2 linked regions of the Caenorhabditis elegans genome follow. The protein of the gene in region 1 interacts with the protein of each later gene in a pairwise test. Each region holds a gene or a part of one and is shown on either strand. Other genes may lie near its edges.

What was found.
Region 2: the proteins of daf-5 (region 1) and daf-3 interact in binary tests that used the Caenorhabditis elegans proteins (3 or more experiments, as listed by UniProt).

Annotation. Positions count from the first base shown.
Region 1 is NC_003280.10:14,029,734-14,040,914, reverse strand, and holds daf-5 (Ski protein homolog), read left to right. Parts: upstream 1-3,193; 5' UTR 3,194-3,200; coding exon 3,201-3,445; intron 3,446-4,408; coding exon 4,409-4,524; intron 4,525-4,618; coding exon 4,619-4,802; intron 4,803-5,101; coding exon 5,102-6,320; intron 6,321-6,958; coding exon 6,959-7,078; 3' UTR 7,079-7,695; downstream 7,696-11,181. UniProt on the Caenorhabditis elegans protein: Probable component of transcriptional regulatory complex with SMAD protein daf-3. Required to regulate entry into a developmentally arrested larval state known as dauer, in response to harsh environmental conditions.
Region 2 is NC_003284.9:816,827-829,141, reverse strand, and holds daf-3 (Smad protein daf-3), read left to right. Parts: upstream 1-3,715; coding exon 3,716-3,740; intron 3,741-3,879; coding exon 3,880-4,068; intron 4,069-4,972; coding exon 4,973-5,074; intron 5,075-5,295; exon of another isoform or gene 5,296-5,300; coding exon of another isoform or gene 5,301-5,328; coding exon 5,329-5,484; intron 5,485-5,531; coding exon 5,532-5,683; intron 5,684-5,729; coding exon 5,730-5,969; intron 5,970-6,163; coding exon 6,164-6,298; intron 6,299-6,450; coding exon of another isoform or gene 6,451-6,459; coding exon 6,460-7,120; intron 7,121-8,410; coding exon 8,411-8,541; intron 8,542-8,720; coding exon 8,721-8,842; intron 8,843-8,886; coding exon 8,887-8,939; intron 8,940-9,271; coding exon 9,272-9,443; intron 9,444-9,646; coding exon 9,647-9,953; intron 9,954-10,001; coding exon 10,002-10,138; intron 10,139-10,716; coding exon 10,717-10,822; downstream 10,823-12,315. UniProt on the Caenorhabditis elegans protein: Transcriptional regulator and common SMAD (co-SMAD), required to regulate entry into a developmentally arrested larval state known as dauer, in response to harsh environmental conditions.

The sequences.
Region 1 (11,181 bases):
CAAACTTTGTTCAGTTTTCGCAAACTTTCGTCCACACTCGATCGACTACCTTGTAGCTCTTAACAACATGGTGCATCGACACACCCCAAAATGTTCAGACTCTCACGTCTTCAAAATCCGATTTCCGGCGGAACTCCGCCTATCCATATACTCTCACTTGTTACTTTGACCCTTTCGTCGCCAGAGGCGGAGCCAGCGAGCGCTTGAACTCGTGAGCTCGGCAAGAAAAAAAAAACGACATCTAGCACAAAAAACCACGTAACGAGAAATAGACGAGCAGACAAAGCGAGAGAGTGCACAACGATGCCGTCTAGCCCACCTCATCATGAAGAGGAGCCCGAGCAGAGATGCACAGAGATAGAGAGAGTGAGAGAGAGAGATAGAAGAGGCGAGACAGCCCATCAACTGCGTCTAGACGTCTTTCCACATTTTTCAACGATCCACGCGCGCGGGCGCCCGGCGCCCTCTTCTGCAGAAACATTCTTTGCTAGCACAGCAACATGGAAAACGAGAGAGAGACTCTGAAGAAGTGCGGCGAGGAAGAAAAGTTCGGTCACATGTCCTCTCCCCGTCTTTTTTTTTTTTTTGCGCTTCGCCGTTTGGTCGCAGTCGTTAGTAGTGTCTGTTTGTGTGGAAGACGACGCGACGGGAGGGGTCTCTGGCGCCAGACTTTTCACTCTTTTTCTCTTTTCCTCGCTGATGTATTTGAAAATATCGGTGCGGAATGTTGTTTATGTATGTTTCTTGTTCTTTATTTATGGACCCCCATCATTTTTGCACTTTTGGTTTTTGAACATTTCCATGGTTACCGTGTGTGTGTGTACTTTGCTCTTAGAATCCAAGCTCCATATTTTTGGATAATTACTATGTTTAAGTGTCATATTTGTTTCCTGATAAAAAATGTGTCACACTGGTCTTTAATCTTTAAGCCCTCGTTTACCTATCGTATCGCCTCTAGAATGAGTCGCTATCAAAAAGTTTTCCACTAACGAATTGTGGGCAACTAACAAAATGTAGAACTATAGTTCTACATTTTGTTAGTTGATAACTTTTTGCTAAGTGATTCTGTGATCTATAACTTTGAGCTCTTGTATCTCCTTCAACATAATCGCTATCAAAAAGTTACCAACTTGCAAATTGTTGCTCTTAATCTGTTTTACGTTATGCCAGTTGACAACCTTTTTGGTATTTCTTGATTCAAAGTAGCTAGCTTTGATCTCCAATATCTCCTCTAGAATATGTGTTATCAAAAAGTTGTCAACTCACAAATTGTAGCCCTTAATTAGTTCTACATTTTGCTAGTTGTAACTTTTTTGATATCTCTTAATCCTACCTAGCTACAACTGTTTCAAGTCACATCTTTCTCTGATTATTTTTTTTCCTGTATTTCCACAGACTACACTGATAACGTCTATAACGCTAATCCCTCAGTCACATCTTGTTTTTGCAGTTTTTTTTTCTTGTTATTTTCAAGCAAAATAATAATTTCAAAAACCATTAGGTGTTCAAAATTCATGTTTATGTAGGAAAAATACATCTGCATTTTGGCTTCGAAAATTCTCACGCGTTCCTCACGTATAACGCATAAGCTTCCAGTTGTTTGGCTTGATTTCTCATGAATTGTGCACAATTTTTTTTGAGTTGAACGGCTTTGGGCAGTAATATCTATAGATAATTATATGCCATTGTGTTTTTTGTGTTCTTTCAAATTTTCGCTGACGTTTGTCATGTGGCGCTGAATTTCCAAAGTTTATTTCTCGTGTCACAACTTTGAGCTAATGTATCTCTGTGGGTATGAAAGTTATCAAAAAGTTGTTTACTAACAAAATATTCAACAAAAAAGTTTGTACAATTTTTTAGTTGATCACTTTTTGTATCATCAATTCCTGCAGAGATAGGCTGCTCCAATCTTTGCACACCTGAAACTACTATGTTTCAATTTTGAGCCATCATATCTCGGTTGCTTTGTGAGCTATCAAAAAGTTGTTAACTAACAAAATATTCAGCAAATTTTTTTCTACCTTTTGCCAGTTGATTAAATTTGTGTTCCACCTATTCCTGTAGAGATAGACTGCTCCAATCTTTTTGCACTTTTTTTGAATTCTATGCTGTCTCATCTTTGAGCCACCATATCTCAATTGCTATAAATGCTATAAAAAAGTTGTCAACTAAAAAAATGTTCAGCAAATTTTTTTCTACATTTTGCCAATTTAAAACATTTTTGTATCTACGCCACCGACACAGCTATAAGCTTTTTCGCAACAACAACAACTTATTGCTCTTTGCTCCACCACCACCCCATCTTCTATCTATCTTTTCGCATATACAAACACATTTCCAACAAGACCATACGAATCAAAAGATCGTACGTAGTTCCTCCTCCCCCCTCCCACCTACTACCGCCAGCACTGTCTCACTCTTCATCTGTCCCTCTTCTTTCTCGCCCACTTGGCTTTGCGATAGGAACCCAATGTTGCAATGTCCGTCCGATTTCTTCGGGGGTCTAGACTACATACATTTGTGGTGCTACATTTTTTTACTGATTTTCTTAGAAGTTCATATTTCAATTTTCTAATTTCTGGGCTACTACCGGAAATATCTCTAGACGTCCTAGCCTCCAAATCACAATGTTTTTTCGTAACTTTCAAAAGTGTAAGATCATATGTAAATCTTGACCTATAAGACTATATCCACCTTCATCAATTCCGTCACACTTTTCGTGTTCTTCTTTGTTATTGTAGTTAATCCTAATCCTCCAAGATCTCTGATAATCTTTTTTTTTTTCCTATTTTTCATTTCGAAACTCAAAATGTTCGGGCTCTCAAGTCTGGCATAGTAAATTTTACTATATTGTGTCAATAGCGTCTGTTTGTGCTCTCGCAGCTAGTCGATGGTCAAGAGTTCAACACGAAATGGGCGGATAGCGGCGGGCACACGAGAAGCAGCAAAAAGACACGCCTTCTGGGGCGGAGCAGAGTTTCTGTCTCGCCGTCTAATTCCTCATTTAACACCTTTCACAGATTTTTGCGCCAGGCCAGCTCATCTATCCTCACACATCACATGTGATTTGTGTTCTGTGTGTCAATATGCCACATCATTGTTATTCTGATAAATATATATTTCGTCTGTACATATTTTGCATTTTCGCTGCTTCCTCCCACCCACCCTTACCTAATTCATTTCCTTATTACAGATCCTATATGTCCGACTCGCCGATCGGCTCCTCGCAGCAGGTGGAGCCGGAGCACCGAACCCCAGACCTCATGGACATTGATCCATTGATTGCGAACTTGAAGGCGTTGCATGAGGAGACGAGATCAGACGACGATGATGATGGGCAACCGTCGACGTCGGCGAAGCGGAAGGATTCTCGAGCCGATGGGATTGTGATCCATCAGAAGAAGTATAGCGATCCGGGGAGATTCTTGTGGATTTGGTTGTTGGGGTGAGCAGACTTTTACTGCTGAAAAATGGGCTTAGGCTTAGACTTAGGCTTAAGTTTGGGCCTAGGCTTCGGCTTAAGCTTAGGCTTCACTTCAGGCTTAACCTTATCCTTTAATTTAGGTTTAGTCCTATGCTAAGATTCCTACGGAATTTCAACTTTTTTTCTTTTTTGCTGACAAATAGACTTTTAGGATTAAGCTTAGGCTTAGGATTAAGCTTAGGCTTAGGCTCTGGCTTTGTCTCAAGCTTAGGCTTAGGCTTAGATTTCTGCGGAGTTTCAATCTCCTCGCTTTTTCAAAATCGCGAAACCTAGAACCAAATGTCGAGAGTCTCAAAAACCCCCTAATGAGTCACATTTAATTTCACCTGCTCGACATATATCCTCAAAAAACATTAAGCAACACAAAAAAAAGAGAGGGACTCCAAAAATCACATCTCTCCCCTTCCTCATTCTATCCCATTGCTTTTTTCTCCGCGCACTTCTTCCTTCTTACTAGTGTCTAGCCAAGGGGTCCCAAATCATTATGCATTCACATTTGAGGCGCGCGCGCCCCTCACAATGTCACATGAGGGTGAGGAGTAGCTGCAGCAGAAAAAGAAGAAAAAGAAGAAGGAGCCTGCAACATTTTGTCGGAGCTCAAAAGAGCACATCCTGTACGTACACATATTTCGCCCCGCCGCCACTTCAACCTGAGCAAAGGTCAGCGTAAAGCTTTGGGGGTGCAGCGAGAAGTCTGGGACAACAAGCCTAGTAGCGTAGTTTTATTTTCAAAAAACAATCACAAGACCAAGAAGTCAATGGCGTCATCGTCTAAAAAACAGCAAAAATATTTCCACAAAAACATGGTGCACTTCCATGTTTTCGATAGGGCAGCGTGTTCACTCTATTTTATTTTGTTATCCAGGCGACTAGTTTGACTAGTTCCGTCTAGACCTCGGAAAAAAAAATTCAAAATTCTTGCAGAGTCCGTGTCCCAGCGTTGTCCATCGATGGGGAGCCACACCTGCCGATTGAGATTCTCGATGATATGCTCACAAAGAAGGACAAGAAGGATCAGATGTCGTTTCAGAATTTGCTTCGTAAGTTTTTTTTTCTTTTAGCATGATCTCTCTCGGGAACACCAGGCACCCTCGACCCTTTTAACAGGACTTTGCTGAAAAGGTAATTTTCCAGGCTACAAAAACGTCTACATCCGAATGGCGTCGCCATCCCAGTTCCGAGCAGTCATGGAGAAGAGCAAGGAGTGCGAAAACCTCAACATCACATCGCTGAGCCTGATGAGCCGGTCGGACATTGAACGGATCATGGGCGAGCTCCGCCTGGAGAGCATGCTCACGTTGGCCGAGCACGACAACTGGTAAGTGTGGCGAGCCTAAGTTCCACTAGCATAAACACTCCTGTGAGGCCGGGGCAGCTCTCTAATTAGAAGCAAGCTCCGGACGCCGCGCTTCCTACGCATCTCTCACTCTAAATAGAGAGCCCGACAAGAAAACAATTTCTCGGCCAAAGCTCATTTTTCAAAAGAGAGAAGAGACATCATCTTTCGAGTCTCTTTGAATATCTGAATAGTTTTCGGGGTCAAAAGGCCAAAAACTCAACTAAAAAAAAGACAAAAAAAACCAGCTAGACCAACAAAACAACCAAAGCCATTTCCAGGGACATCTCCGATCGAGTTCACGTTGTGCACGTCAACTTCATCGACTACTGCAGCGAATGGTTGGAGAGCGATGACTTGGAGGAGGATGTGATGCAGAGTGGAACACACGGCTATTGGTACAAGAATCGGCGGAACATGCGATGCATCGAATGCCAGCATTGTGAGGGAAAGTTCACACCGACCGACTTCATCATGCACCATCACTATCCGATCAAGCCGAGCGGTTTTGTGCACACCGGCTGTAACAGCTTCCAGTGGATTCGGCTTATTGAAGTATTCGATAAATCCAATGAGAACCTGGAAGCCTGGAATAAATTTGTCCTGAACTCGCACAGAGCTGGCAAGCGTGAATACGATGAAGCTGCGCCGCATCAGGCGCCGCCGAAGAGACCCGCTATGGAGACACCTGTGCCGGTGGCCGCGGACAACGGCTGGGAAGCTGATGAAGAAGAGGAAGGCGAGGAGATTGTGGATAGAGATGCAGATATTGAGAAGTGCAAGTTGAGGAACAAGAAGAAGATGGAGAATCTCCATATTGCCGACTTCCTCGGACCATCTGGATCCAAAGGCCTAAAGCCTAGAAACAAATTTGAGGCAGTCATCATCGAGCAGCTTAACAAAATGGACGATGCAGCTCTCGAGGCTTTATTCCTGAAATCGCCTGAAGAATACAATTTGTGGGTGAAGGAGTCCGATTTCACACATAAAGTCGTCACGCAGCAGCAAGAATGGAAGGCAAAGATGAAGGATCCGAACTTTAAGAGTCGAGCGTCAGCGAACTTCGACGTTTCCAAAGGAGAGTTCGACAACATGCGCCACTTCGACAATGCCTCCAAAGCCACGCGACAAGAAATCCAGCAGCTCGCCGAGCAATTCGCCAATCTCGATCGCGACGCCAAACTTTTGACTCCAATGGAGTTCGTGTTAAGAGAGCACGCGTTGCTCAAGAATGTCTCGGCAGACGCGATACGTGTACTGTGTAACCGTCCGCCACTGCCGCCACTGCCGCCACCGCCACCGCCACCAAAACCAAAGCCGGCTCCGGTACAGCCGATCTCGTTGGGAAATATCAACTTTGTGGCGTTAGCCCAGCAGCTGATCGCGTCTGGGATCAAGCTTCCTCTGCCGATTGTGACACCGCCAGTGGTTTCTACGCCGGCGCCAGTGATTACGCCGATTCCTGCAGCGTTGCCGATCTCGCCGAATTCTGATTTTTTGGTAAGTATACATGGGGAGTTGAATTTTTTAGAGCTCCCGTTTAAGCACTCGTAGATCTAGAGTTGAAGAGACACAGACATTCCTCCGTAAATCGACACAAATCGGCTCTTCTTGCTCCCGCGCCCTGGGTCCCGGGACGTCTGTGTCTCTTCACACTCGCTGGACCTGTGCTGCAAACACCAACACTTTGATTTTACTCCAAAATACAGAAAAGCTGATATCTCGGCTCGTTTTAAAGATCTTAGAAAATGAGAGCTACATCACGTGGTGACATGCTGTCCCATTACGGTTTGATCTACAAAAAATGCGGGAATTTTTCGCCAAAAAAAATGTGACGTCAGCACGTTCTTAACCATGCGAATTCAGTTGGGAACTCTGCGTCTCAACTCCCGCATTTTTTGTAGATCTACGTAGATCAAACCAATATGGGACACTCTGACAGTGTATTTTTTCCAACTTTCACGACTTTAAAGAAGGGCGCATTTATTCAAAATGGTCTCGCCACGCGCTCCAAAAATCGATGGATGGCGCGTAGCGAGACCTTTAAAGTCGTAAAAGTGTAGAAAAAATACACTGCTACTAGTTTGTGATTTGCGCTTATTAATTTCTATTTTGAAATTAAATATAACTAATTCCAGAAACAACAACTCTCCACGGCCATGTCATCTCCAGCTCTTCTCTCCCTCTACCCGAAGCTCACCGCCGGTGCCTATGAGCAATTGGCCCAGTTTATCAAAACCACCACCGTCAAGAATTGATTAGATGATCTTTCTTATTCCATTATGTATTCCTTTCTCCTTCAAGCCAAACCTATCATTCCTTCATGTACAAAACACTTGTGAGAATTGTTGCACCCCACCCCGGTTATGTACATATATTGAAAATGACGCTAGTCGTATTGTTTTTAAATTCATTTTACCTCTCTGTCTGTCTCTTTCTCTCTTTCTGTCCCACATCTCTCTCGCCACTTGCCATACTATTAGGTACCTCTTTTCCCCATTTTTTTCATATTCCTATCTGTTGTTAACACCGTCCTCTCCACAACAAAATACGCACTTTAAAAAATCAATGTATCTCTACCAAATGCTGCTACTCGAAAACTTGTACCTATTTCTAATAATCTTTTCGGTTCGAAATTCCTCTTTTTAATAATCACTTCTTTTTTTCTGTTAATATATATATATATATATGCTGCCCGGTTCAATATGTATTTTGTCATTCTTGAGTAGCCAAAATCCCCCCAACTCCCCCCTTCGATTCAGGACAGTCTCCATCCCAAAGCAACAGTTACGGTATCACTGCGTTTTTTATTTTCGTCGTTTTTTCTATCTATTTGTGCAAATTGAATTTGACATTCAGTAATGAACGTATTATTTCTATTTTTTGGCACATTTTGCCGATTTGCCGGAAGTTTTTAGTTCCGGCAATTTGCCGGTTTGTCGATTTGCCGGAAATTTTCAATTCCGTCAATTTGCCGGTTTCACAATTTGCCGGAAGTTTTCAACTTTTTTTTCAAACGTTTGCAGTGCTCAGGTTAAGTTTTCAATTTCGGCAATTTGCCGGTTTGCCGACTTGTCGGAAATTTTCAATTCCGGCAGTTTGCCGGAATTTTCCGGTTTGCCGACTTGCCGAAAATTTTCAATTCCGGCAGTTTGCCAGTTTCCTAATTTGCCGGAGGTTCTCAATTCCGGAAACTTGCCGGTTTGCCGATTTGCCGGAATTTTTCAATTCCGGAAATTTGCCCGTTTGTCGATTTGCCGGAAAAAATCGTTTACCGCCCACCCCTGGTGTGTCTGCTTAAACATTAAAATAACTCATTTTTGTGTCATTTTACTAAATTATTGGGGAAAAAATCAAGTTTTGGTCAAAATTTTTCAAAAACTTTTCGCCACAAGTTAAACTTCGGACAAAGTATTTATTACCCTTAGTAGTATTCTTACTAGATTCTTCTTACTCCGACTCCCTCTCCCAATCATACGGTGCATTGATGTCAACACCGGCGGTAGTACAAGCATCTGCGAGCAGCTTGTAGATGAACTGGTAGTCCACACGATCTTGATAGACTCTCGAGTCGATGTAGTCGAGGATCTTGTTGAGTTCACTACTCTGCTTGATTCCAGCAAAGAGTTTATCACGCTTTGTTGTCCGGCATGCTTGCTTCATTTTCAGAATCTCATTCCAGTCCTGGAGATCACGCCATGGAACATCTTTTGGAAGGATGAGGCCGAGCAGCGTGTAGAGCCAACTTTCACAGTCATCCTTGGGGCTCAGTTCAGTTTTTAGGTGGCTTGCAATCGATGCGAAACGAGAAATTCCCTAGAAACAATTTCACTAATAGAGTTAGATACTACGCTCACCTTGAACCCCACATTTCCTCTTCTTGCGGACTTCTGCTCATTGTTGGAGTTGACATACTTCCGCGCGAATATAAAGTTGAGAAGATAAATGTTATGCCGTTTGTCACCAAGTCCACATGCATAGTGACCAGTTCTCAGGTCACGATGAACGAATCCCTTCTTATGCAACTCTTCAATTGCCTGCTAACACTGGCGTGCTGCTCCGAGCCCAGTAGCAGATGAGAATACTTTATCAGCTCGTTCTTTTTTCAAATCAGCCAATGACTTTCCAACTTGTTGCAAAACCAAAAAACAGAAATGATCTCTGTCTTTTCTCCTGCGATCCACAATTTTCTGGAAGTGTTCACCGCCATCCACCGATTTCAAAACAGAAATCTCCATTCTCAGCTTTTCATTGCGTCTTATTTCTGTTTGTTCGATTTTCATTGTGAACGATTGCTTTTTTGCGATATCATTTACCAAGTACTCTCCAACAATAGTACCGTCAAAGAGTTGACTAAGTATCACGTATTTGGCTTCACGGCTTCTGATTATGGTTCCCTGAAAGACCACTTTATTGAGAACACAAAAATATGAGGCTACTAGCTAGGCGTGCAGGTAGGCAAAACGGCAAAGTAGCCAGAAGGCCTAGGTGGATGCATTGGTAAGTAAGTAGGTAGGCATATGTAGGGAGACGGGGAGGCTAAACACGCAGGCAGGCAGGCAATTTCAAGCAAGACGATAAGCTGGCACAAAGGAAGGATTACTTGTAAGACATTTTGAAGCTAAAGTGCCAACTTTCCAATAAAACTCACAGGCTTAAATTTGTCCTCTTCTTCCGATTCTGATTTAGTCATCTTTTTGGTTTTCAGAATAAATTGGCGAGTTAAAACTAAATAATGTTAAATATTTTTAATTTAAAATTTCATTTTTACATAGTTCTACATAAGTTCACGGCGTACATCAATTCATTTTAAAAAGCGTAAGCAAATCTAGGCAGAAATGTAGGCGTAGACAGGTACGGGAAGGCAAACATGGAGGTAGGACCAGTAGGCAGGCAGGCTAACAGCCACTTTTGTACCTACACAATAACTTCACTTTTTTAAAAATTACTGGTTTCAAAATTTTTCTTCAAAAATATTCCCCTCATTGATAACAGATAAAATGCCCTTGATAAAAACGTCTCAGAGAAAGCGAAATTAGGCTCCGCCTCTTTCTTACATCGTAAGTGGACAGGTTTCTGAGAGGAATTTTTTAGTTGGTGAGAATATGGATCAGATTTTGCAACTTTTTTATTCTTCAGTTTTTGACCGAAAAGTTACCAGCTTTCACTTAAACTTTTTTAAGACTTGAAAATTACGGATTTCCCATGTACATGGTGTTCTAGATAAGGCAAAATGTTCTAGATAAGGAAAAATTTTTAGCAAAAGGTGGATAAATTTTCGGTTGAGATATTAATTTTTTCTAACTACTCAAAAATATAGAGTTTTCGAAAATTGGAAAAATTCAGCAATTTGGTAATTTGCAGAAAAAATGCCTAAATTTGAAAATCTGACAATTCTTAGATAATGAGGGTTCTAGAAATTTTCGGAAATTGCCAAAATTATCAATTTAGTCATTTCCAGATAACTTACATTTTTTTTTTGGTAACTAGAGTTATAAGATAAGTTTGTCCAAAATTTCCGAAATTTTCTAAATGAAGTTTCCAAAAAATCAGAAATTTTGCAGGTAACTGGAGTTAAAGCATATGATAAAATCCCCAAAAAATGCTGAAATTTGCCGAAATTCAGAATTTCGGCAACTTTGACATTTTTTGGTAACTGGAGTTAAAAGTTAAAAGATAAGTTTGTCCAAAATTGCCCAAATTTTCTGAATAAAGTTTCCAAAAATTGCTGAAAAATGCCGAAAATTAAAAACTCAACAATTTTCTCGGTAACTGGAGTTAAGACACATGATAGAGTGTCCAAAAATTGCCGGATATTGCTGAAATTTCAAAGTTCAGCAACTCATAAATAGCAGAAGCTTTAGAATTAACTTTGCGGGGGTAACTAAAGTAGGAAAATATGAAATAGTTGCCGAAAAATGTGCCAATGCGAAAGATATTTAAAATTGGCAAATTTTATGAATTCGACTTTTTTGGGTTTTCAAGGCAAATGCTCTTTTACTACCTCATCTTTTACTACGTTGCTCTTTTACTACGGTTTACTCTTTTACTACGGCCGTATTTTTTACTACATTTTCTAATTTCGATTTTTTACTACGAAATGTATCTTTTACTACGGCCGTATTTTTTACTACATTTTCCAATTTCGATTTTTTACTACGAAATGTATCTTTTACTACGGTCGTATTTTTTACTACGGTTTCCGAATTTGATTTTTTACTACGATTAACGATTTTTTACTACCTAATGAAAAAAAGAATATCAAAAGTTGGAACTTGAAAGTTACCTTGTAGCAGATTTTAGGTATGATTACAATTTCATTCTGAAATCAACATGAAAGTTTCATAGCTGTGCTCTTTTT
Region 2 (12,315 bases), on another chromosome or scaffold:
CAGAATCTCGAAAATGGTTTCGGCAGTTTTACTCGAATTAAAAAAGTCACCAAACTATAGAGAAAAATCCACAAAAATTATATATGGGGCACGACAGAAAATGCACGCTATGCAATTTGCAATATTTTCAATGATTATTTTATCGAATTATTATTTTCACGGTTTTTCTTCCATAAAACATAAAACATACCAAAAAGAGGTTTCCTTCTACTACCTTATTATAGATGACTACAGTTACTGCACAGGTGTCTTTTTCTCAGATTACAATCTCAATTGGTGTCATCGACATAGCCTTTTACTTTTTCTGGTGGTTGACACTGTCTTACCAGATTTTTGAGCTACAAGGCAATTTGGAGAAATTTTTTTTCTATTTTTTTGTTTCAGTTCACGTTTGACTTTTTAGAAATGCGGTTTTACTTTTTTTGAAAATCTAGCAGTTATAGGATACCTCTCCGATTTATCCCAAAAAGTTGCGTTAATCATGGAAAGTATCACCCACAATTTCTAAATTTATAGGCAGGTTTCAAGCCAGCCTAGATTTCAATAATTATTGTAACTTACTGAGAGATAAAGCATAGTTTTTAAATGCTTTAGTGGTTACTTTTAAATTTTTATCTATTCGTCTTTTTTTGATTGAAATATCAATTTGTAGCGGTGGCAGGCTGTTAAGTTTAAAATTTAGTAGCAGCTGTTTTCAGTTGTGTTAGTTTTCACTAAAGTTGAAAATTGCTCGTAGTTTGATTTTTTTTGTGACTTTAGTTTTATTTTCACGTGTTTTCATATAATGAGTCATCAAACAACACAAGACATTTTCTATGAAATTTATGAGACCTGATATTTCAAGCCGTTTCTGAGAGTTATTTACATATTCAAATTATTGAATCCTGATTGCTTCTGTATATTTTGTTCAGAATTTTTTTTCAGATTGTTCTAAAAACTATCGGGGAACTATCGCAACTTTTACCACAAAATTATTTTGGAACTTTTTTACTATTAGTGACAGTGAGATCTACCTTGGGATTAGGTTAAGATAATTAGGATAATTAGAATAAATGAAGATAACGAATAACATATGTGGAAGGTAGATCAAACATGATCTTTGTAAAAAATTGCGATACTTGTTTCACTGTAGTAGTTATAGCGTCTTTTCTCCGTTTGACCTTTGGATTTTGCACCCAATTGACATGTATTTTTTTCAACTGATGTGACGTCACATTTCTCATGGGCACGATTTTCCCGCACTTTGGGACCTGAGAGAGACGGACTATAGACGATGCACTCTATCAGTTTAAATTTCAAGAAAATTGAATTCTTGATAGAACCCAACTACATTTCCGTGTTGTACCCTTATGCCTACTGCCATCTTCTTTTTTTCTGCCAGCAACAAGTAAAAACAGAAGAATCGAGTCAAGATATGCGCAACGGGGATACACAGACAACGAAATTGTGTCAGAAATAGTGAAGGCATAGAAGAGGCCAACCGGGTACGCGTGGCTCCTCTTCAGCACTTTCTCTCTCTCTCTCTCGCCCTTTTCCATCTAACAGCTTTTTTGCTTTTCTATGTTTGTGTGTCGTTTGATTATAAATTAGGTGTGCTTTTGAGGAAAACATTGGATTGAAAAGAACCTTAGAGATTGATCAGGCGGGAGGAGGAATGAAAATGAAACATTAGAGTGGAAATAGTATATTTTTTCAAAACACAATCATATCAGATTTTTGTTATAAATTAATGAATAGTTTTTAAATCCCCATTTCTTAAAGAAAATTTTATGAATGCTCCACATATCTTATATGCCTCTGTAAACATTTTAAAATTCCGTGTTCACAAGTTTAGAGTACAAGAAAAGTGTCTTCAATAAAAATTGAACTTTTTGTTTCTGCTGTGATATCTTTCACGATAAAATCTTTTGAAAAACCATCGCTTTTATAGTACTAGAGGTGTTAATAATTGACGGTTTCAAGGCTAAGATCACGCGATTCTTTAGTTGAATTTGTTTTTTGATTGTTTGGACTGTGAGATTGTAATTTTTTTAATCTTGTAAGTTTTTGTGCAATGAAAAATGCCTTAACGACTTTCATATAAATTTCTCTTATTCCTCTTGTTTAAAATGTCTACCACAAATTTTTAACAGTTATAACTAAATTGGGCAAAATTTGTTATTTCAACTTTACAAAAAAAATTTAACTTTTTTTGAATACTCTCTGTAGACGCGGTTTTTTTTTCAGAATTATGGTGGCCACCTTTTCAATAAAAAAAAATTATCTGAAAAATGCCATGGTCTCTCTGACCTTCGGCCCACATTGTATCTACGGATTTCATTCAAATATTTGCGGTTTTTTTTGACCGCTTGATCAAACTAATGAACTTTCATCAATGCAAACAAAATTTTTTCGCCAAAAGCAAATGACTAGCCAACTTTTTTTTTCTGTTTATGTTCAAATAGTTCAGTGGTTTCTTGTTAATTAATTATGACACAGTTTTGGTCACAAAATTTGAGCGTTTTTTTCGCTGAAACAATTGCACAAATCTAATACAAAACATTCTGATATCACACGCATCAATTTGGCGAGATTTCAAAAAATCAAACTGAGATGAGACCAGTGAAAACAAAAAATATATATGAGTCATCTAGAAAGTGATCTATACATTTTGTAGATCTTTTTTTAAAAATTGTGATGTTTGAGTACTTACAATGTAGGTCTACCACTTATTTTTTCTAGTTAGCTCACTATTTTATGCTTAGCATAGGTCAAACTACCCTTATAAAAAAAAACAATTATTTAGGTAAAAACGCTTGAAGTTCTTTTTTTCCTTTGTTTTGCACGAGAGGTTTTTTGTAAGTTTCTTATCAATCTCTTTTTTCAGTAAAAAAAGATCAAAACATCAAACCGAGGTCATGTGCACTCTCTTGTAGCTCTCTACTTGTTCCCTCATTATCTTATTCCCCCCGTCTTCTCACTTGTTGGTCCAACTACGCTCAACTTATCGATTCTTTGCAGCGAGCACTGCCACCTCAACACACTTTTAGCAATGAAATAGTGTGCTGGGCGAAGAGACGCAGACACACGTACGTAGTTTAAGAGTGAGCGAGATAGAGTGTGCGTAACGAGAAAAAGAGATAGAAGACGAAGAAACAAGTAGTGGTTTGGTTTCGATCTTTTTTTTTTAATTTGGGATATTTTTATTTTTATTTTCGAATTGTCAATTATTATTATTAATAGACTGTCAAAAATTACTTTTAATACCCCGTATTTGAACACGTTCTTTTTTTTATTTCTCTTAAATTGATTCCAAACAAGTTCCTATTAACACAATTCTTTTCAATTTTCTTTTCGAAATCATAATATTTTTTAAAAGTTAAATCTGTGGTTTTTTGGTTTTCCTTTCTGAATATGTTTTTACTGAAAACACCAAAAAATCTTGACAGTAGCTCAAAATATCAAGCTTTACAATTAAAGTTTTTCTCAACTTTTTTTTTCCCCTATAAACACAATCTCCCTTTATTCCCAAAAATACCACGAAACATGATATTTCAAAAAAAAAAGACAAACAGGTTTATACCACAGTTTGTACCTTTTATTGTCCATGCTGGTATTGTATTTCCTACTTCTTTGCCGCCCGGTTTTTCCTTGTTGTTTTAATTTTATTCCAAAACTCAATTTTACAGGTAATCAAATTGTAAAGGAAAAATATTAATAGTCAGAGTACACATAAATGGGTGATCATCATAATTTAACGGGTGAGTTTTTGTTTTATTGAAATTACTTTATTTTCGGAATGTTATTTAAAAAAAAGTTACAGTTTGAATAAAAAAACAGGATCTTCTGTTTCAGTTTTGAAAAAAAAACCAATTCCATAGTCCATATCCCAACTTACAGGCCTTCCCGGTACCTCCATCCCGCCACAGTTCAACTATTCTCAGCCCGGTACCAGCACCGGAGGGCCGCTTTATGGTGGAAAACCTTCTCATGGATTGGAAGATATTCCTGATGTAGAGGAATATGAGAGGAACCTGCTCGGGGCTGGAGCAGGTTTTAATCTGCTCAATGTAGGAAATATGGCTAATGGTGAGTTTAAATAGTAGCTATAGGAGTGAAGTGTTTGGAGTGTCGTGTTGGATATAAAATATCAATTAAAATAGATTCGAATTATTCAGAAAATCGCTTATTTTGGTAGTAGAACAAATGTTGATAAGTTAACAGACATCTTCTTTTTCCAATTAGTCTTGCACCCGAAGTGACTAGTTGGAAAATAGCCTTGCAGTTTCTATTAATTTTGTACATACTAATCTAGTACATTTCTAGAGAAAATTTTAGTATTTTAAGGTGGCAACGAGTAGTGCGGAACTCAAAATTCTCTTACATTCTCTTATATCTACTTACATTGAAAATTAATTTTGCACTCAAAAAATACCAAATAAAAAATAGGGTACTTGTTCCCGCTATTTTTGAAATTAATCAATTTTTCATTAATTTATCTATTTAAATTAAACTTGATATCTATTTTCTTCGTTGGGCTCAGGAATGGTAAATACGAGTTTTATAAGTTTTTATTTTATAAGTTAAAAAATTAATTTCTAAAATAGCGGAAGCATAATACACAAGTACCAAAAATAGTTATACATGCAATTTTGTCCATAGAATACTCTGAAACAACCTTGGTATTAGCTGCAAAACTGCAACATTATCAATTTAAAAAGGTATTTCTAATTGCAAATAAAATCGTAGCATTTCTAACAGTTGCCTAATTCTCGCTTTCTATTTTCAAATTTCAATTTTTTTTAAACTTTCAAGTAATGCAAACTCTGTAAAACACTGAAATCTAGTGAAAACCAAATCAATTTCCCTACGTGATTAGTAGTCGTGGTGTATGGTGGTTTGTGTTGGTTTGATATGCTTATTTTCCTTTTTGTTTTAAAAACCTTCCCCGTTTTGTTGCTTTTTAAATTTTACATTTCAAACTGAAATTCAGAATTTAAACCAATAATCACATTGGACACGAAACCACCTCGTGATGCCAACAAGTCATTGGCATTCAATGGCGGGTTGAAGCTAATCACTCCGAAAACTGAAGGTAAATAACGTCGAACATAGTAGTATAGCTTGAAAATAAAAAAAAACGTTGAATATGATGCATAAATGGTGCAATAGAAGGTTCAAAAGAATTTGTTGCCAACAAAAAATCTAAAATTTCAACACGAACCTCATGATGTTTACCGTCTGGCAGTCACTAACACACGTATTGATAAGCGAATTGTTGCCAAATTTCGTTGCTTATCAAACCTTATTTCTCTCTGACCATGAAGCTAATAGCAACTTCTCTTCTAGTTCCCGACGAGCACACACCGATGATGTCACCAGTGAATACAACTACAAAGATTCTACAACGGAGTGGTATTAAAATGGAAATCCCGCCATATTTGGATCCAGACAGTCAGGATGATGACCCGGAAGATGGTGTCAACTACCCGGATCCAGATTTATGTAAGTGGCAAAAAAAGTGTGAGCAAAAGAACTTAATATATTTTCAGTTGACACAAAAAACACAAATATGACCGAGTACGATTTGGATGTGTTGAAGCTTGGAAAACCAGCAGTAGATGAAGCACGGAAAAAGATCGAAGTTCCCGACGCTAGTGCGCCGCCAAACAAAATTGTAGAATATTTGATGTATTATAGAACGGTAAATACTTAAGTTTGTAGTACTGATTACAATATTGCATTTTCAGTTAAAAGAAAGTGAACTCATACAACTGAATGCGTATCGGACAAAACGAAATCGATTATCGTTGAACTTGGTCAAAAACAATATTGATCGAGAGTTCGACCAAAAAGCTTGCGAGTCCCTGGTGAAAAAATTGAAGGATAAGAAGAATGATCTCCAGAACCTGATTGATGTGGTTCTTTCAAAAGGTACAAAATATACCGGTTGCATTACAATTCCAAGGACACTTGATGGCCGGTTACAGGTGAGATCAAAAAAAATTTCTAGGACACATTTTGAGCCTATAGACATTAAATTATGATCTTTCAACGAACCTACGCTAGATAAATGATCCGACTTTTAAAAGTTTTGGAATTTATTTTGAGACGTTTCATTATGAAACTTGTATTAGACCAGCTTATGATATCAAAGTACCCACAAACTCCATACAAATTACAGGTCCACGGAAGAAAAGGTTTCCCTCACGTAGTCTATGGCAAACTGTGGAGGTTTAATGAAATGACAAAAAACGAAACGCGTCATGTGGACCACTGCAAGCACGCATTTGAAATGAAAAGTGACATGGTAGGTGAAGTAAGTGTGAATTGTTTCATTTTTCCTTTGATGTGATGTGGCACATGTTAGCTTCTTCCCTTATTCGGTTAACTCTGTGACCTTTGTTTGATTAAGTTGATTGCCTAATGTTGAGAAGATGTGACTTTTAAAAGTTTTAATATGAATATTAGGCCTTACAGGTATGCGTGAATCCCTATCACTACGAAATTGTCATTGGAACTATGATTGTTGGGCAGAGGGATCATGACAATCGAGATATGCCGCCGCCACATCAACGCTACCACACTCCAGGTCGGCAGGATCCAGTTGACGATATGAGTAGATTTATACCACCAGCTTCCATTCGTCCGCCTCCGATGAACATGCACACAAGGCCTCAGCCTATGCCTCAACAATTGCCTTCAGTTGGCGCAACGTTTGCCCATCCTCTCCCACATCAGGCGCCACATAACCCAGGGGTTTCACATCCGTACTCCATTGCTCCACAGACCCATTACCCGTTGAACATGAACCCAATTCCGCAAATGCCGCAAATGCCACAAATGCCACCACCTCTCCATCAGGGATATGGAATGAATGGGCCGAGTTGCTCTTCAGAAAACAACAATCCATTCCACCAAAATCACCATTATAATGATATTAGCCATCCAAATCACTATTCCTACGACTGTGGTCCGAACTTGTACGGGTTTCCAACTCCTTATCCGGATTTTCACCATCCTTTCAATCAGCAACCACACCAGCCGCCACAACTATCACAAAACCATACGTCCCAACAAGGCAGTCATCAACCAGGGCACCAAGGTCAGGTACCGAATGATCCACCAATTTCAAGACCAGGTACGTATGATTTAAAAAAAAAACAGTTGTTGTAAGGAGAAAAAGTTATTCTGACAGTAGGCATGAGGGTTGAACTAGAGGGACGCCGCAATTGCAAGAATTGTCGATTGCCGAAAATTTCCGACTTTGAACGGATGTCGGCAGGATGTGCCGGTCCGCTGTCAGGGTGGGCGGCAATTGCCGTTTGGCAATTTTTTTTGTCCACAAATTCAGCAAATCGCCGGAAATTTTCGATTCCGGCAATTAGCCGGTTTGCCGATTTGACGGAAATTTTAATTGAAGCAATTTGCCGATTTGCCGATTTGGCTGAAAAAATCGTTTGCCGCTCACCCCTGGTTTGGTGTTCCAGCCGAGAGCTAATAATTTTAGTCACTCAGCCACACAATACTGCCACCTATCAAGGCATGGATTTACAAAGGTTTAATATCTCCAGGTGTCAAACCAGAAACGGCAAAATATTATTTATGGGTACCTCATTATATAAAGGGGTAGAATATAAGTAGGCGGACAGGTGCATAGCCAATTCCCGCAGTTTAATCCTTTTTGGGATGTCCATTAACAGAGCCTTATTTGAATTTTTCTATTGGATTTTCGCCCTTTTCCGATGAAAACGAAGCGTTTTCAAACTTCACTAAAAGTGCAGCTTTTACAATTTTGACTAAATTGCTCTAGAATTAAGTATGAAAAAATTTTATGAATAGTATTGAGAGTTCATATTCTTTCGCAAAATAATCAAGAAATCTCTGCAGGAAATTTAATGTTAAGTTTAATCCTTATACATAAATTCTAATATAAGTACTTGATAATAACGAGAAAGGATGAAGCCCCTCAAATATTTGCCTTTTAAATTTGCACGTAGGTTTGAAAAGGCATCAATTTTGCAAATTTTTTTTTCGATAAACATTTTGCAGTTTTTTTATTTTAGATCTCATCAAAATATCTTCTTCTGGTAGACACATGTAATTTATTTGAAATTGATTGGAAAATGCCAACTTACAACATTTTGAAAAGGTGTCCTGCCAATTTCATATCAGTTATCAGATTTATTTTCTAAAAAAATAGCCAAGTTGAGACCACGAGGCGTATGATTATAGTTGTATAGTCGGTGATTTATTGCATAAAGAAGTTGGTTTAAAAGCAGTGATTTTGATTCTCAAAACTCATTTTTTTAGAGATTTTCTACAGCCGCTTTGCGAACAATTTTACTTTTCATCATACATGATACATTTTTTTGTCGCCTTTTCAGTTCATTCCTAAAATTTGTAAAACTTGAAGTAAACTCAATTACAGTGTTACAACCATCAACAGTCACCTTGGACGTGTTCCGTCGGTACTGTAGACAGACATTTGGAAATCGATTTTTTGAAGGAGAAAGTGAACAATCCGGCGCAATAATTCGGTCTAGTAACAAATTCATTGAAGTAAGTATTTCTAATATGTAGCTACTATGTACGTGTCACTCAAGATTGACAGCTTATCGCATATAAGTTGTGTCGATAAGGTGCCAAACAAAATATTGAATTTAATGTCACTTTTTGCTTTCTGAATCATCAAACAAACGATTTTTGTTTTTCATTCAAGAATATTGTGTTTTTTCTAGGAATTTGATTCGCCGATTTGTGGTGTGACAGTTGTTCGACCGCGGATGACAGACGGTGAGGTTTTGGAGAACATCATGCCGGAAGATGCACCATATCATGACATTTGCAAGTTCATTTTGAGGTTCGTTCTAGTTTTCATGGAATTAAAAGCCAAGTATTTTTTAGGCTCACATCAGAAAGTGTAACTTTCTCAGGAGAGGGGCCAGAAGTTAGTGATTGTAAGTTTCTTTTTTTTCTCTCTAAAGTTCACTTTAAAAAATCGTGTTAGTGATTGAAAACAAAATGAGTAATTATGTATTATACCCCGCCAACATAAAATTAAATTAAATTTTCATTCATAACTTTATTTAAATTAAACGTGATATGGATTATCTTCTTCAGATTTAGAAATGGTTATCATCAAGAAATCTTCCACACGTTTTCATGCTTTATTTCTTAAAAACTTTCATTTAAAACGACGGGGATATAATACATAAATACCCAAAAATGTAAAAGATCAAGTAAATTTAAAATGTTCACAACATAAAAAAAAACTGCTTGCTTTTTTCAGTGAACGAAAAATGGGGAACAATTGTGTACTATGAGAAAAATTTGCAAATTGGCGAGAAAAAATGTTCGAGAGGAAATTTCCACGTGGATGGCGGATTCATTTGCTCTGAGAATCGTTACAGTCTCGGACTTGAGCCAAATCCAATTAGAGAACCAGTGGCGTTTAAAGTTCGGTAAGTAAATCTGAAACTTATTGATATATTATAGAACATAGGTACAATTTTTTTTACAATCCAATTTTTTGGGCAATGACAGTATCAGGGTAACAATCCAATCCAAATTCGGAAATGTTGTTCGATAGTTTCCAGCTTATGAATTTTCTAACTAAAGAAATAACACAAATTTTTAAAGCTTTTGAACCATTGAAATGTTTCAGTAAAGCAATAGTGGATGGAATTCGCTTTTCCTACAAAAAAGACGGGAGTGTTTGGCTTCAAAACCGCATGAAGTACCCGGTATTTGTCACTTCTGGGTATCTCGACGAGCAATCAGGAGGCCTAAAGAAGGATAAAGTGCACAAAGTTTACGGATGTGCGTCTATCAAAACGTTTGGCTTCAACGTTTCCAAACAAATCATCAGAGACGCGCTTCTTTCCAAGCAAATGGCAACAATGTACTTGCAAGGAAAATTGACTCCGATGAATTATATCTACGAGAAGAAGACTCAGGAAGAGCTGCGAAGGGTAATTTTGAGTGTAAGATTTTGTTTGAAGTTATAAAAATATATTCAGGAAGCAACACGCACCACTGATTCATTGGCCAAGTACTGTTGTGTCCGTGTCTCGTTCTGCAAAGGATTTGGAGAAGCATACCCAGAACGCCCGTCAATTCATGATTGTCCAGTTTGGATTGAGTTGAAAATCAACATGTTAGTTTTTTTTTTTCAAGGCCCTTGTGGTCCCATCAAAATTTTTGAAAGTTGGCTAACTACCTTTTGGGCCCTAGGACCGCCAGAATAATTTCTTAAATTTACGGGTCTTATTATCAAGCTTCGGTACAAGCATAATATCGCGCAGTTTACAATTCATGTATAGATTGAAAAACAATATTTTTTACTCTTGAAACTAAATTTTGTTTCGAATTTCAACATCGACAGCTTATAGTTGCCGTTTGACTCATTTAAAAACTATCATCTGAAAAATATTTGCTAATTGTTCTCTATCGTTTTGAGTTGATTGTTTATGGATATGCCTCTCGCCTCATTTCTGCACTACATCGAGAAGTAAAAGACTTGGTTTTTACAAAAAATAGTGTGAGAGACGATTTTTCAACGCGCAGCAGGCGGAAGCCCGCCGCAAGACGGGCATGGCAGGCGTTCTTGCGCCCTAAAGTAAAATAATCGGGGTACTAAAACTCCTATTACCTGAAATACGGTATGTTAGTAATCTAAAGTAGTTTTATAAAAAATCCCATGTTCATTAAAAAAATCCCAATGTGTAATTTCAGTGCCTACGATTTCATGGATTCAATCTGCCAGTACATAACCAACTGCTTCGAGCCGCTAGGAATGGAAGATTTTGCAAAATTGGGAATCAACGTCAGTGATGACTAAATGATAACTTTTTTCACTCACCCTACTAGATACTGATTTAGTCTTATTCCAAATCATCCAACGATATCAAACTTTTTCCTTTGAACTTTGCATACTATGTTATCACAAGTTCCAAGCAGTTTCAATACAAACATAGGATATGTTAACAACTTTTGATAAGAATCAAGTTACCAACTGTTCATTGTGAGCTTTGAGCTGTATAGAAGGACAATGTATCCCATACCTCAATCTTTAATAGTCATCAGTCACTGGTCCCGCACCAATTTTTTCGATTCGCATATGTCATATATTGCACCGTGGCCCTTTTTATTGTAACTTTTAATATATTTTCTTCCCAACTTGTGAATATGATTGATGAACCACCATTTTGAGTAATAAATGTATTTTTTGTGGACATCATGTTTAAATAAAGAAAACATAGGCAGTTTGTTAGGAGTTAAGTACACTTTCTGGTAAACTTAATGCCCCTTAAACTTAAATTACAGACAGAGAACTTATAATTTTCAATAGAGAAAAAAACAGACTTTCAGCGATCGGAACTCACACCAGCTACTCAACTACGCCTTTTTTGGTAAATCTTCTACAATAAGAGCCGAAGGTTCAAAAACGTAGTAAGCGTTTATTGAGTGAATAATACAGATATTACACAAAACTTATGACAACTTGCTTACAATTTGTGGAAAACAGTAAACTTCATCGGAGCAGACGCGCGAGACAACTTTTTGACAATGGTTTTTGTGATGTTGCTACCAGATAGCGCCGGTTCCGAATAGAAACGTTTATCTAAATTTTAATTAATTTGATCTTAAATTTAAGTTTACGAGCTTACCGTTGTTAAGAACTCCCAAAGCTTGATTCATCGCTTTCATTTGATGACTGAAGCCACAATCAAACGAGAAAGAGCTCATCTTTTTTGTAGAAGAATTAAGTGGCGGAAAATGATCAATTGGCACTTGGAAAATCATTTTTCTTGAAAATGTTGAAGAATAAAAGAATATAAAATTCTGCAGATTAATATTCTTCTATTCTTAGCCCATCTTTAATACTGGAATTTGGAACGAGTTTTGAAAAAATTTGACGGAACAGTGATGTAACTTGCCATAAGGACATAAGAAACGTCGTTAAACCATTCAAATAAATTGGATACGGTAATGGTCAATGCGAATCTGGGCGATTTTTGGAAACTCGATCAAAGATGATGAATTCAGGTTTTTGGGGCGTATAACATCAGCGTCAATTTCAGCAAAAATAAAATTATAAGGATTTGCGAAAATCATGAGTTTTGAATTTCAGATCATGTATAATGTCTGAGTAAAAACTTTTCACTTTGGCAGGAATGTTTCCAGGCAGCATAGTAATCAAGTTTACCATGCCACTCCTAAAACTCAAGCATATGCCGAATGTGAGCGGCCATTTCTTAACTCTGTTTATGTCGGCTGCATATGTGTTACTGAAGTATGTTATGGTTATGTATTCGAAGGCCGAACAAGGAG